3 linked regions of the Stegostoma tigrinum genome follow. The protein of the gene in region 1 binds, or shares a complex with, the protein of each later gene. Links are inferred from orthologs where the notes say so. Each region holds a gene or a part of one and is shown in the gene's direction. Other genes may lie near its edges.

Evidence for each region.
Region 2: taf1c (region 1) and taf1a share a complex: the UniProt entries of both Homo sapiens proteins name them as parts of the transcription factor SL1/TIF-IB complex. The link is inferred for Stegostoma tigrinum from reciprocal best matches to the Homo sapiens genes TAF1C and TAF1A.
Region 3: taf1c (region 1) and rrn3 share a complex: the UniProt entries of both Homo sapiens proteins name them as parts of the pol I pre-initiation complex. The link is inferred for Stegostoma tigrinum from reciprocal best matches to the Homo sapiens genes TAF1C and RRN3.

The regions. Positions count from the first base shown.
Region 1 is NC_081354.1:138,937,176-138,940,927, reverse strand, and holds the start of taf1c (TATA box-binding protein-associated factor, RNA polymerase I, subunit C), read left to right. Parts: upstream 1-824; 5' UTR 825-957; coding exon 958-1,095; intron 1,096-3,752. UniProt on the Homo sapiens protein: Component of the transcription factor SL1/TIF-IB complex, which is involved in the assembly of the PIC (pre-initiation complex) during RNA polymerase I-dependent transcription.
Region 2 is NC_081362.1:52,741,192-52,744,943, forward strand, and holds the start of taf1a (TATA box-binding protein-associated factor RNA polymerase I subunit A), read left to right. Parts: upstream 1-1,261; 5' UTR 1,262-1,453; intron 1,454-3,752. UniProt on the Homo sapiens protein: Component of the transcription factor SL1/TIF-IB complex, which is involved in the assembly of the PIC (pre-initiation complex) during RNA polymerase I-dependent transcription.
Region 3 is NC_081376.1:51,356,408-51,360,159, forward strand, and holds the start of rrn3 (RNA polymerase I-specific transcription initiation factor RRN3), read left to right. Parts: upstream 1-998; 5' UTR 999-1,007; coding exon 1,008-1,100; intron 1,101-1,183; coding exon 1,184-1,240; intron 1,241-3,752. UniProt on the Homo sapiens protein: Required for efficient transcription initiation by RNA polymerase I (Pol I). Required for the formation of the competent pre-initiation complex (PIC).

The DNA.
Region 1 (3,752 bases):
GTCCAGCTCCACACTTTGTTATCGTTAAAGAACTGGTGTAGGGGGCTTGGGCTTCAGATAAGTGGGTCATTGGGATGCCTTCCAGGTAAGGGGAGACCTGAACAGGCAGGACAAATTGGACCTAAACTGGAGGGGCAACAATATCTTGGCAGGGAGGTTTAAACTAGTGTGGTGGGGCTATGATCTGGAGTAGCAAGTCAGTAAATATACAGGCTGGGGAAGGGCTTGAGTCAAAAGCAAATATAACGCAGAGGAAGACATAACAAAGTGTGGAGCTGGATGAACACAGCAGGTCAAGCAGCATCTTAGCAACTCCACACTTTGCAGATGCTTGAGAATCCAAGATAACAGTTCGCATTATCTCTGATACAATAACTCAGAGTAAGAGCAGTCAGGGACAGGTTGCGGAGCTCAGCGGAACTGGAGGCTTGGAGTGCATTTGCTTCGATGCAAGTTGTATAACAGGCAAGGCAAATAAACTGGATTAATGTATACAATTACGATCTTGTTGCAATCACAGAGATATGGTTGAAAGAGGGATAGGATTGGAAGCTTAACTTTCCAGTATATCGATGCTTTAGTCGAGACAGAGGCGGAAGCAATAGAGGTGGGGAGTTGCATTACTGGTTAAAGGATGCATCAGCTGTGTTCGGTTCAAGTCTAGACAGCCTGTGGTGCTCTCGGAACAAGCACACACCCACGGAGCGGCTTCTGCCGGAGGGCGTTCCGTTGCCCTGGGTAACGCAGGGAGCTCCACTTCACTCGCCCTCACCAACATGGCGTCCGCGAGCACCCACAGCAAAGTCGCGCGCTGCTGGGCTCCGCGGCGGGTCGAACAATTCGCCCGTGAAGGGCCCGCCCCCTCATTGTTGCATCCGCCGGAAGTCGGTCCTCGCTTCGGGCAGCACGCGCAGTCGGGTTTCGGTACGGGTGCCGTACGGGCTCAGCGACGGCGGCATGGAGAGCGCATTCCCGTACTCCCTTTATCCCAGCTTCTACAACTCCGGTCCCTCCGCTTGGAACCCCTGGGAGCCAGGGGGCTGGGGAGAGTATGAACATGTCCAGCCGTTCTGTGCGGAGGGCGGGGGCCAACAGGTGAGGGTCGAACTGCGGGAGCGGGAAACGCCGCCTCCCCTCCTGGGGAGCAGCTTTGGGGAGAGATGGGGGCAGTAACGGCTCGTTGCACCACCTCACGCTGGAACAACAAAGCAATCAAACATACTTGTACTGGGTCTCCCTCATGCTGGGGACGCCTCGCCGTTAATACTGAAGACTGCTTGCTAGGTTAGAGCAGCTGGAGAATCTGAGATAACGAGGTGTAGAGCTGGATGAACACAGCAGGCCAAACAACATCCATAAGACCTAGGAGTGTAAGTGAGGCCATTCGGCCCAACAATTCCACTCCGCCATTTAAACCATGGCTGATGGGCATTTCAACTCCACTTCCCTGCACTCTTCCCCCGTAGCCCTTGATTCCTTTTGAGATCAAGAATTTGTCGATCTCTGCCTCGAAGGCATCCAACGTCCCGGCCTCCACTGCACTCTGCGGCAATGAATTCCACAAGCCCACCATTCTCTGGCTGAAGAAATGTCATCTCATTTCAGTTTTAAATTTACCCCCTCTAATTTTAAGGCTGTGCCCATGGGTCCTAGTCTCCCTGCCTAACGGAAACAACTTCTTAGCATCCACCCCTTCTAAACCATACATTATCTTGTAAGTTTCTATTAGATTTCCCCTCAACCTTCTAAACTCTAATGAGTACCATCCCAGGATCCTTAGTCGTTCATCATATGCTAAACCTACCATTCCAGGCATCATCCATGTGAATCTCTGCTGGACACGCTCCAGGGCTAGTATGTCCTTTCTGAGGTGTGGGGCCCAAAATTGGACACATTTAACGTGGTTACGTGTTTCGTACATCTAAGTCATTGCAGTGTGGAGCTGGAGGAATGTCGACTCTCCTGCTCCTTTGATGCTGCCTGGCCTGCTGTGTTCCTCCAGCTCCACACTATTATGTTATCTCAGCCGTGATCTTGTTGAGTGGTAGAACAGGCTTGAGTGCAGAAAGGTAAATCCTGACCCCTATTTTCATAGATGGTGGAAGATGAGTCAAATTTTCAAGCAGTGGAAAGTGAAAATTACAAGAGGGCACCCCAGTTATGAGAAGGAATAGCTGCAGGGAAGGTAATACTAATCTATCAGAGGTAACAATGTGTGGGGCTGGATGAACACAGCAGGCCAAGCAGTGCTCCTAAGATGCTGCTTGGCATGCTGTGTTCATCCAGTTCCACAATTTGTTACCTTGGATTCTCCAGCATCTGCAGTTCCCACTTTCTCTGATCACAAATCTATCAGATATTTGTTTTGAGTTGAAAAGCATTTCATAAAATTAGATTCTACACAGGAACTTCAGATGAAATGTAGAGATAATCAGGTGAAACTTTGCTGTCTCAATAATATTTCTGCTCAAGGGGGAAGTTTGAGTTAGTTCTTTTTCAATCTTTTTATATCCCAGGAATGAAGGGCTTGTCATATGAAGAGCCAGAAGCCACATGATACCAGGTTATAGCCCAACAGGTTTACTTAAAACCACAAGCTTTTGGAGTGTAGCCCCTTCATCCGATGGTTCTGGTGTTGTGTGACTTCTGACTTTGCCCACCCCAATCCAACACAGGCACATCCATATCATACGAAGGGTGGGTTAAGGACTCTGGGTCTGTACTCGACGGAGGTTAGAAAGATGGGAGGAGATCTCATTGAAACCTAGAGAATGCCTAGAGACCTGTGTAGAACAAGTTTTGACTAGGGAATGGTCACAGTTTTTTTCCTATTCATTTGTGGGATGTGGGCATTGCTGGCTGGCCAGCATTTATTGCCTGTCCCTGGTTGCTCTTGAGAAGGTGGTGGTGATGATCTGTTTTCTTGAACTGCTGCAGTCCACATGCAGTGGGTTGACCAACAACGTTATTGGGGGGGAGTTCCAGGATTTTTGACTCAGCCAACAGTGAGGGAGCAGCAATATATTTCCTAGTCAGGATGAGGAGGAGCTTGGTAGGGTGGTCTCTGCCGCTGTCTTTTCTGGTGCCTGGGTCAATACCAGATGCTTCATACATTTTCATTTCATTGAGACTTTGTAGTGATTGGTACAACTGAATGGCTTGCTTGCCATTGCAGAGGGCAACTGAGAGTCAACCACATTGCTGTGGGGCTGGAGTCACATGTAGGCCAGACCAGGTGAGGATGATGGATTTCTTTCCCCCAAAGGGTATTAGTGAACCAGAAGGGTTTTTCTGACAATTGACAATGATTTCATGGTGATCAATGGGATTTGAACCTAGGTCTCCAGAACATTAGCTGACTGTCTGGGTTAATGGCTTTGAAATTGCTTCAGGCACACCAAAAACTACATCACCAATATATATTATCAGGAAAAGCAGGGGCCTCAATACCGAGCCCTGGGGATCTCCACTACAAGTCTTTCTCCAGCCCAAAAAATATCATTTCACCATTATTCCAGGTTTCCTTTCACCCATTCAATTTTGCATCCACTTTGCTACACACCCCTTTATTCCATGTCCTGTAAGTCTCTTCACATCTGTGGTGTGGCTCTGTATCAAGCACCTTGTGAAAGTCTGTGTACGCCATATCAACGACATTACCTCTTTGAACATTGTGTTACCACTTCAAATTGTCCAGTAAGTTGGATAAACACTATTTCCCAAGAAATCTGTACTGACACTTCCCAATGAAC
Region 2 (3,752 bases), on another chromosome or scaffold:
AAGTCACAAAAAATGGTCTCAGAAACACGAGCTCACAAGCAATTCAAGGACTTTGGAAATGACATAGAGGATGAAAGTGGAACTGTGGCTTGCAAGAAGGAGTCATGCTTTAAATATTTTGGGGAGCTCAGTCTTCAATGGAAGTTGGTAGAATATTTTGTGTCATTCAAGTTGACAGTGTAGACATCATTCTTTCCCTGAGCAAACTTAATCTTTGCCAAAATTTCAGCAGAGGGAAAATTGAATCCTGTTTCTTTGGTTGAACAAGAGTTTGTTTGGAAACACACATACTGAAAATATTGCTAGCTAGTTTGCTCTCATGGTTTACTTTCACTGTCTTTATTATATTTTTAGTCCTCCTTTGCTGGATTCTGAATTTATCCCAATCTTTGCGGCTATAACTGACAACACTCGCTGGCAACAAAGCAGTGAGCACATTTCAGTGGAAAACATGGTGTGAGGGCTAAGGCAGGCACGAAGACAGGAAGATTTTCAGTGAAAAAGTTGCAATAACTGAGGTTCTCAACGAAAGAGAAGCTGCCAGAACAGGCAAGCAGACAAAGATGTGTTCTGGTGATAATGATATGGAGGTACGTGGTAAGTCTGAAGACTGCGGAATTTCTTGCCTTACGTGACATACCGCACTTAAAAGCAGAACATTGCGGATGCTGGAAATCTGCAAAGTGCTGTAAAAACTCACAGAAATACTCATCAGGTTAAGCACCTTTCGTCTTCTAAAATGTTGCCAGTCCGACTGAGTTGTTGCACGCTTTGGATTATATTCAGTCGTAGAGTTCAGTATTTTGTTTCACGTTGTCTGTGCAAGTGGTTTAACACGTCTTTACCTGCCAAGTCTTATTGGTTTGATCTTGAATCGCCTTTTATTCTTGAAAATAAACATTGGTTTATTTCTACAAGTTCAACTAGATAAGCAGTAAATTCCAAAAAAAAACCCACTATGCATAATCGTCATGTTTGTTTGATGGTAAAATGTTTGTTTGAATGGAATTTGAACACATCACGATAACTGTAAATGTTAAATACATTAAAGCGGTGACTATGTACCGGTTGTTATTCTGAAAATATTTTTACTGAGCTTTATCCCAGATCACGAATAAATACTTCCAAGTCACTACCCCCTGTTACTCAATGGACAAAATCGATACTCCCGAATGCGGATGGCTGCCTTCAGAGAAAATGCAGCAGATGTTCAACATGACCCCGGAAGGAGTTTTAGATTGTCAGCACGTGGGAAGTAAAACTGTCCTTTTCCTATGATTGGAACGTTACCCTGGGAATGGAACGTTGCCCGGATGGGGAACAGAATCCTGAGCGTGCCCAGGCAACGGGGTAAATGATGTGGAGGAGATTGTGCTGAACGTTTGGTCACTACTGAGGAAAATCTTTTGGTGTTATAACTGCTTAATCAGAGGAGGGGAAAAGTGATCAGAAGGTGCGTGGAGACCTTCATTGGAAGTTCTTGAAAAAAAACTTAGTATTTGTTTAGCTTTTGAAAACTTCGTGATTTTTATGCTTTCGTTTTAAAAAAAACTAAAACCGAAATAGCGAAGAAATGATGGTGGTATTCAGCCGTAGAGTTCAGTATTTCAAGTTGTCTAGAAAGTAGTTAGTTGTAGAAGGGGTTTAATTTTTTTGCGTATTAATACCATCACTAAAAGGTCATTAGATGCAAAAAAAACAGGAAATTGCATTTGTTTATACTCCCATCACCTTATAGTCTTTCTTCACTTCTAATTTATTCATCCCTGTACTACTTCATATATTTATCTCACCTCCCCTAATTGCATCATTGCCAGCCATCTCTGATAAAATGAGTCTTGTGGAGCACTGGTTGCCTGTAGGCTAGAAGGCCTCTCTCTCTCTTTCCTGTGAAAGTACTTGAAGCCAAATAAAGTTGATTGCGTTATCCTGTCAGTTGCTGTAAGCTGTTGCATTACAGCAATAAGTCAGAGATTTTTTAATTATGAACAAGCCGCTCTGTGTCTCTTGCAAAGTAGAAGAACCTGAAGGAAAAATTCAGAGAACTAAAGGCTTTTGGAAACAAAGTTAACAATGCATCAAATCCTAGGGACTGATGCTTTGAACTGATTGCCACAAGTTTTCTTCATTCCACTGATGATACTTTTTTGTTTCATATTTGTTTTGGTGCTTTTTGAAGGGGGTTAAAAGTTTAGCTAGTAGTGCTAGCCTGTGGTTCATATTTGTTTATCTGTTGCTGGAATCAATCCATTTGTGATTATATAGTATTTCTTGTTAAGTGGAGAAACCGACTGTGTGTTTTCTGTTAATCTGAGTCTGCAAGACAGATAAACTGGGGACTTAAGTAAAAGCGAGTTTTGAGAAGATTTATAGCTCAGGTTGAGGTTCTGGATGTGAGTTTGCTCACTGAGCTGGAAGGTTAATTTTCAGACGTTTCGTCACTTTTTTTTATTTGAAAAAATATACTTTATTCATAAGATGTACAAAAAATAAAACACTTATACACCTACCCAGTCATGCAAGCCGCTCCGGGTTACCCAGGGGGTACGTACACCAACTAAAGGAAAAAAACAAACAAAGAAGAAACAAAAAACAAAGCAAAGAAAATACCCCGGCAGTCGTCACCCCGCACAGTCCCAGTTGGCCCCCTGACCAGTTGGGGAAAGCGCCAGCTGGGCCCAGTTACCAGATAGGGTTCCTTTTTCTATTCAGGACGAGGGGTTTCACACCGTGGTCTTTCCCCACCGCGCATTGGCGGCGGCGGCTGCCTCAAGCTTTAGTGCGTCCTTCAGCACGTAGTCTTGGACCTTGGAGTGCGCCAGTCTGCAACATTCGGTCGGGGCCAGTTCTTTCAGCTGGCAGACCAAGTTGAGGGCAGACCAAAGAGCGTCTTTCACCGTATTGATGGTCCTCCAGGTGCAGATGATGTTGGTCTCGGTGTGCGTCCCGGGAAACAGCCCGTAGAGCACGGAGTCCCGTGTCACGGAGCTGCTCGGGACGAACCTCGGCAAATACCACTGCATCCCCCTCCAGACCTCCTGCGCATAGGCACACTCCAGAAGGAGGTGATCAACAGTCTCGTCCGCCCCGCAGCCATCTTGAGGGCAGCGTGCAGTGGCGCAGAGATTCCAGGCATGCATAAAGGATCTCACTGGCAGAGCCCCTCTCACCACCAGCCAAGCAATGTCCTTGTGCTTGTTTGAAAGTTCTGGCGATGAGGCATTCTGCCAAATGACTTTGGCAGTCTGCGTGGGGAACCACACGACGGGATCCATCCTCTCCTTTTCCCGAAGAGTCTCGAGGATACTACGTGCTGACCACTGCCTGACGGCCTTGTGGTCAAAGGTGTTTCCTTTCAAAAATTTCTCCACGAAGGACAGGTGGTACGGAACGGTCCAACTACTGGGAGCGTTCCGCGGCAACGAGGCCAGGCCCATCCTTCGCAACACCGGGGACAGGTAGAACCTCAGTAAGTAGTGACACTTGGTGTTTGCGTACTAAGGATCTGCGCACAGCTTGATGCAGCCGCAGACAAAGGTAGCCATCAGGGCGAGGGTGGCGTTTGGTACGTCCTTTCCCCCGTTTTCCAGGTCTTTGTACATGGTGTCCCTACGGACCCGGTCCATCCTCGACCCCCAAATGAAGTGGAAGATGGCCCGGGTGACCGCAGCGGCGCAGGTCCAGGGAATAGGCCAGGCCTGCGCCACATACAACAGTACCGAAAGCCCCTCGCACCTGACAACCAGGTTCTT
Region 3 (3,752 bases), on another chromosome or scaffold:
AAAAATTAAACAAGTTTACTATGCAAAATAAAAGATAAAATTTTACATCCAACTTTAAAGATTTCAAAACAGAAAAGAACACTATTTCATCTCAAACACCAGAGAGAATTCCTGTCTCAATCACATCTATGGGTTTGACTTAATTATTGCTTTCAATTCCTGGTCTTGATCATCTGATAGCTTCTTCCTTGAGTAATCACGCAGAGCTTAGATTTCCTTAGTTTCAGGGTCTGCCAAATACCTCCGATCCTATTTTTCTAACTGAAACGCTTACGCTAAGGTAACTTATTTCCTAACTTTTCCGAACTAATTCCTTTCTCCCAGAGAAACCGTTTCATACATCTGCCTTCATTCAGGATTTCTGCGAACAGAAACCAAAAGCTTCCAAGTGTTGGTGTTTTTGCCTAAGCCAATACAAAAAGCTCCTGACTCTTCTAACAGAAAGCATGCTGATGCTCTTCAGTGTGTACTCTACCGCTGGTCACACTTTCCCAATGCAAACAAATTTGCCTGAACACTTCAGGATGTCTGTCTCTTATGCTAGTTTTTTTTGAAAAAAGCATGACTTCAGAAATGCTGACAAGTTAATCACTAAGGCATGTAAACACACAGACCAAAATCCATTAGTTCAAGATCCAAACTCAAATAATAATAACATCTCACACCTTACGTCACAGAGGGTGATTACATGTATGTTGAGAGAGAATGGCACGTGACAGGAAGCTAAGTTTAGAGGGATAGTATTAACGATGTGGGAGCAACAGGCGGGGATTGAATTTGTGAATTGGCAGGTCCTGATAGAAGCAGAAAGAGTGGGATCAAGATAGAAGAGAAGACCTGGAGGTGCTGGACTTTGGAATGGATTTTGTTAAGGGAGACTTGGCAGAAGGATCAAGGGTGGATTCTTTTGAAGACAGTACGATAACTGATTTAAAAGAGATTACAGAGGGATACATTTACAATGTATAAATAATTCTTCCTATGTTCCTGAAGGCTTCCATTTGACAATGTTGGGAGAAAGTGAGTTCTTCAGTTCCCCACCAAGGAAAGCTGTCAGATTTGGTGGAACGGTTACAGAAATCTTAAAGAAATATAAACAGGTAAAATAAGTTAAACAGGTAAATGTGTAAGAAATTTTCTCACCTTTCTGTAAATTTGATTCAAAAGAGTTTTTTCCCCCTAGGGAGATACTGTGGATTATGATTTGCTGATGACACAACTGGATGATCCAGAAATAAAGGTAATCAACAAATTGTTTAACATGCATCTCATTTGTGCAGCGTTTTCCTGTTATACATATGGAACTTTACAGTTTTAACAATTTGCATTTAATCTGTTAGGTTTGTACTCTGTAATAACATAGCATTTTTAATTTTATGAATATGGTGGATCTGTTTCTCTATATGTACCTACTCCAGATTAGCATGTGCAAGGATTATTCCAATTAGTGTTGGATGAAAGGGGTAGTGTGAGTCTAGATGTTAGGCATAATCTTGACTCTGGAATGAAACAGTGTGAAACCTGAGTTTAGCACAAATTTGAAGTGTAAATGTACACTAGATCAGTCTGTCCCAATGCTAACTGAAATAAATTTTGAGCAGAGGTAATGTGAACTGCAGATGCTGGAGAATCCAAGATAACAAAGTGTGAAGCTGGATGAACACAGCAGGCCCAGCAGCATCTCAAGAGCACAAAAGCTGACGTTTCGGGCCCAGACCCGAAACGTCAGCTTTTGTGCTGCTGAGATGCTGCTTGGCCTGCTGTGTTCATCCAGCTTCACACTTCGTTATCTTAAATTTTGAGCTGCTTTCATCTAGCTTAGCTAGGACCCCAGGGCAACAACATTGACTCACTCGCAATTAGCTGATGCACAACACATGTCTTCAAACTTATTTGTGAAAATTTCCCGGAAATGCTGGCATTCTCACACCACCACACTTCAACTGCTGTCTTGGTCCCAAAGGCCGTGAATCCTTGCCTCCAAAAGGCAATATCATCCACCTAAATTAATGTATGTAATACAAATATAACAGCAGACACATTAGGAAAAGCTCCATGATCTTCTGATGCTATTTGCTCACCACCAATCCATGTTTGGGCAAACAATGACTAAATATAAAATGACTGTTTTAAATTCTCTCATAAAGTAATGTTAATGATTAGGAATGGGAATGATGGACTCAGTGAATAGTGCCCCTGCTTCTCAGCTAGAAGCTACAGGTTCAGGCCACTCCAAGACTTGTTGGTCACAGGAATGTTCGTGATATGAAGGAAGTACATCCACAGTGTGGTTGAACAGGTTGTTGATCAGCCTGGTAATCCTTCTAACACTTCTTCACAATTCTGAAAAATGGGGGGGAAAAAGTCAGTGTCTGAAACAAGCAAACAGACTTTTCAAAAATTCTTCAGCCTTTTGGTGAAATTATACACTGAGGTAATTTTCACTGATCGAGTTACGAACTCCTGGCCTAAAACAGTTTTTCATGTTAATTATAATATCGAATCTAAGTGTGTGAACGGAGATTTAATATGATAACCAGCATCAGCATTGTTACTTAAAATCAATGTTTTGGTCATTTGAAGAAAAATCTGGTCAAAATTTAATTTTGATAGGATTGAAACCTTTCATCATTTAACTGATTCTGTTTCCTTGTAAATTTGTTCTATAGTACGAAGTTTTTGTTTGTATTAAGTTACTTATTTTCTTTTTACTGTATTTCTGTTGTTTCCACACTCATGTTTGAGATGCAGCTTTGTGGATTCACGTTCCACTTAATCTAGATTGTTTCTCCATTGCAGTACTGATGGAGAGCTGCACTGTCAGAGGTGTAACTATTTGGATGAAATGTTAAACCAAGGCTAAGGCAACTTTCTAAGGCGGACATAAACAAATCCAGAACCCAGTTTTGAAGAAGAATTGGGGTTATCCTTGGTGCAAAGACAGAAATTGCTGGAGAATTTCAGCAGCATCTGTAGAGAGAAAAGCGGAGTTAACATTTTGAGTTCAATAACTTTTAAACAGTCCTGTTGTATAAATGCAAATCTGCTTGTCTCTCTTTTCTTAATTTTCTTAACAGAAGTTTTTCTGATTTAGTGTTAAACTGTGGCCCTGTCTGCCTGCTCTGATGATTCAGGAAGAAAGATTCCATGGCAATACTTAGAGTCATGAAGGCTTACAGCATGGAAACAGGCCCTTTGGCCCAATTTGTCCGTGCTGCCCAGTTTACACAATTAATCTAATTCCATTTGCCTGTGTTTGGTCCATATCCCTTCAAACCTATCCTATCCGTGTAATGTTCAAATATTTCTTAAATGACATAACTGTACTCGACTCCATCACTACCTCTAGCAGCCTGTTCCATACACTCATCATACTGTGGGTGAAACAAAATTTGCCCTCTGGACCCATTTATATCTCTCCGTGTCACCTTTTGCCCTCTAGTTTTAGATTCCCTACCACATTTTATTGACCTCCATAAGGTCATTCCTCAGTCTGCAACGCTCCAGGGAAATAAAAACCCAATCTGTCCCACCTCTCTTTGTAACTCAAACCAAGTCCAGACACATCCAGGTAAATCCAGAAAATTCCCCTGGGATCCTGCACACATTTTCTCCCTTGACCACTGCCATCAACAAGGAGATTAGTTGATCCAACTTTATTTGTTTATTTTGCAGTGCACATTGGCGGTGCCATTCATCTACTAAGAGTGACTGCATTTCAAAGCAGTTCTTTATTCTTAGCATGTCATAAT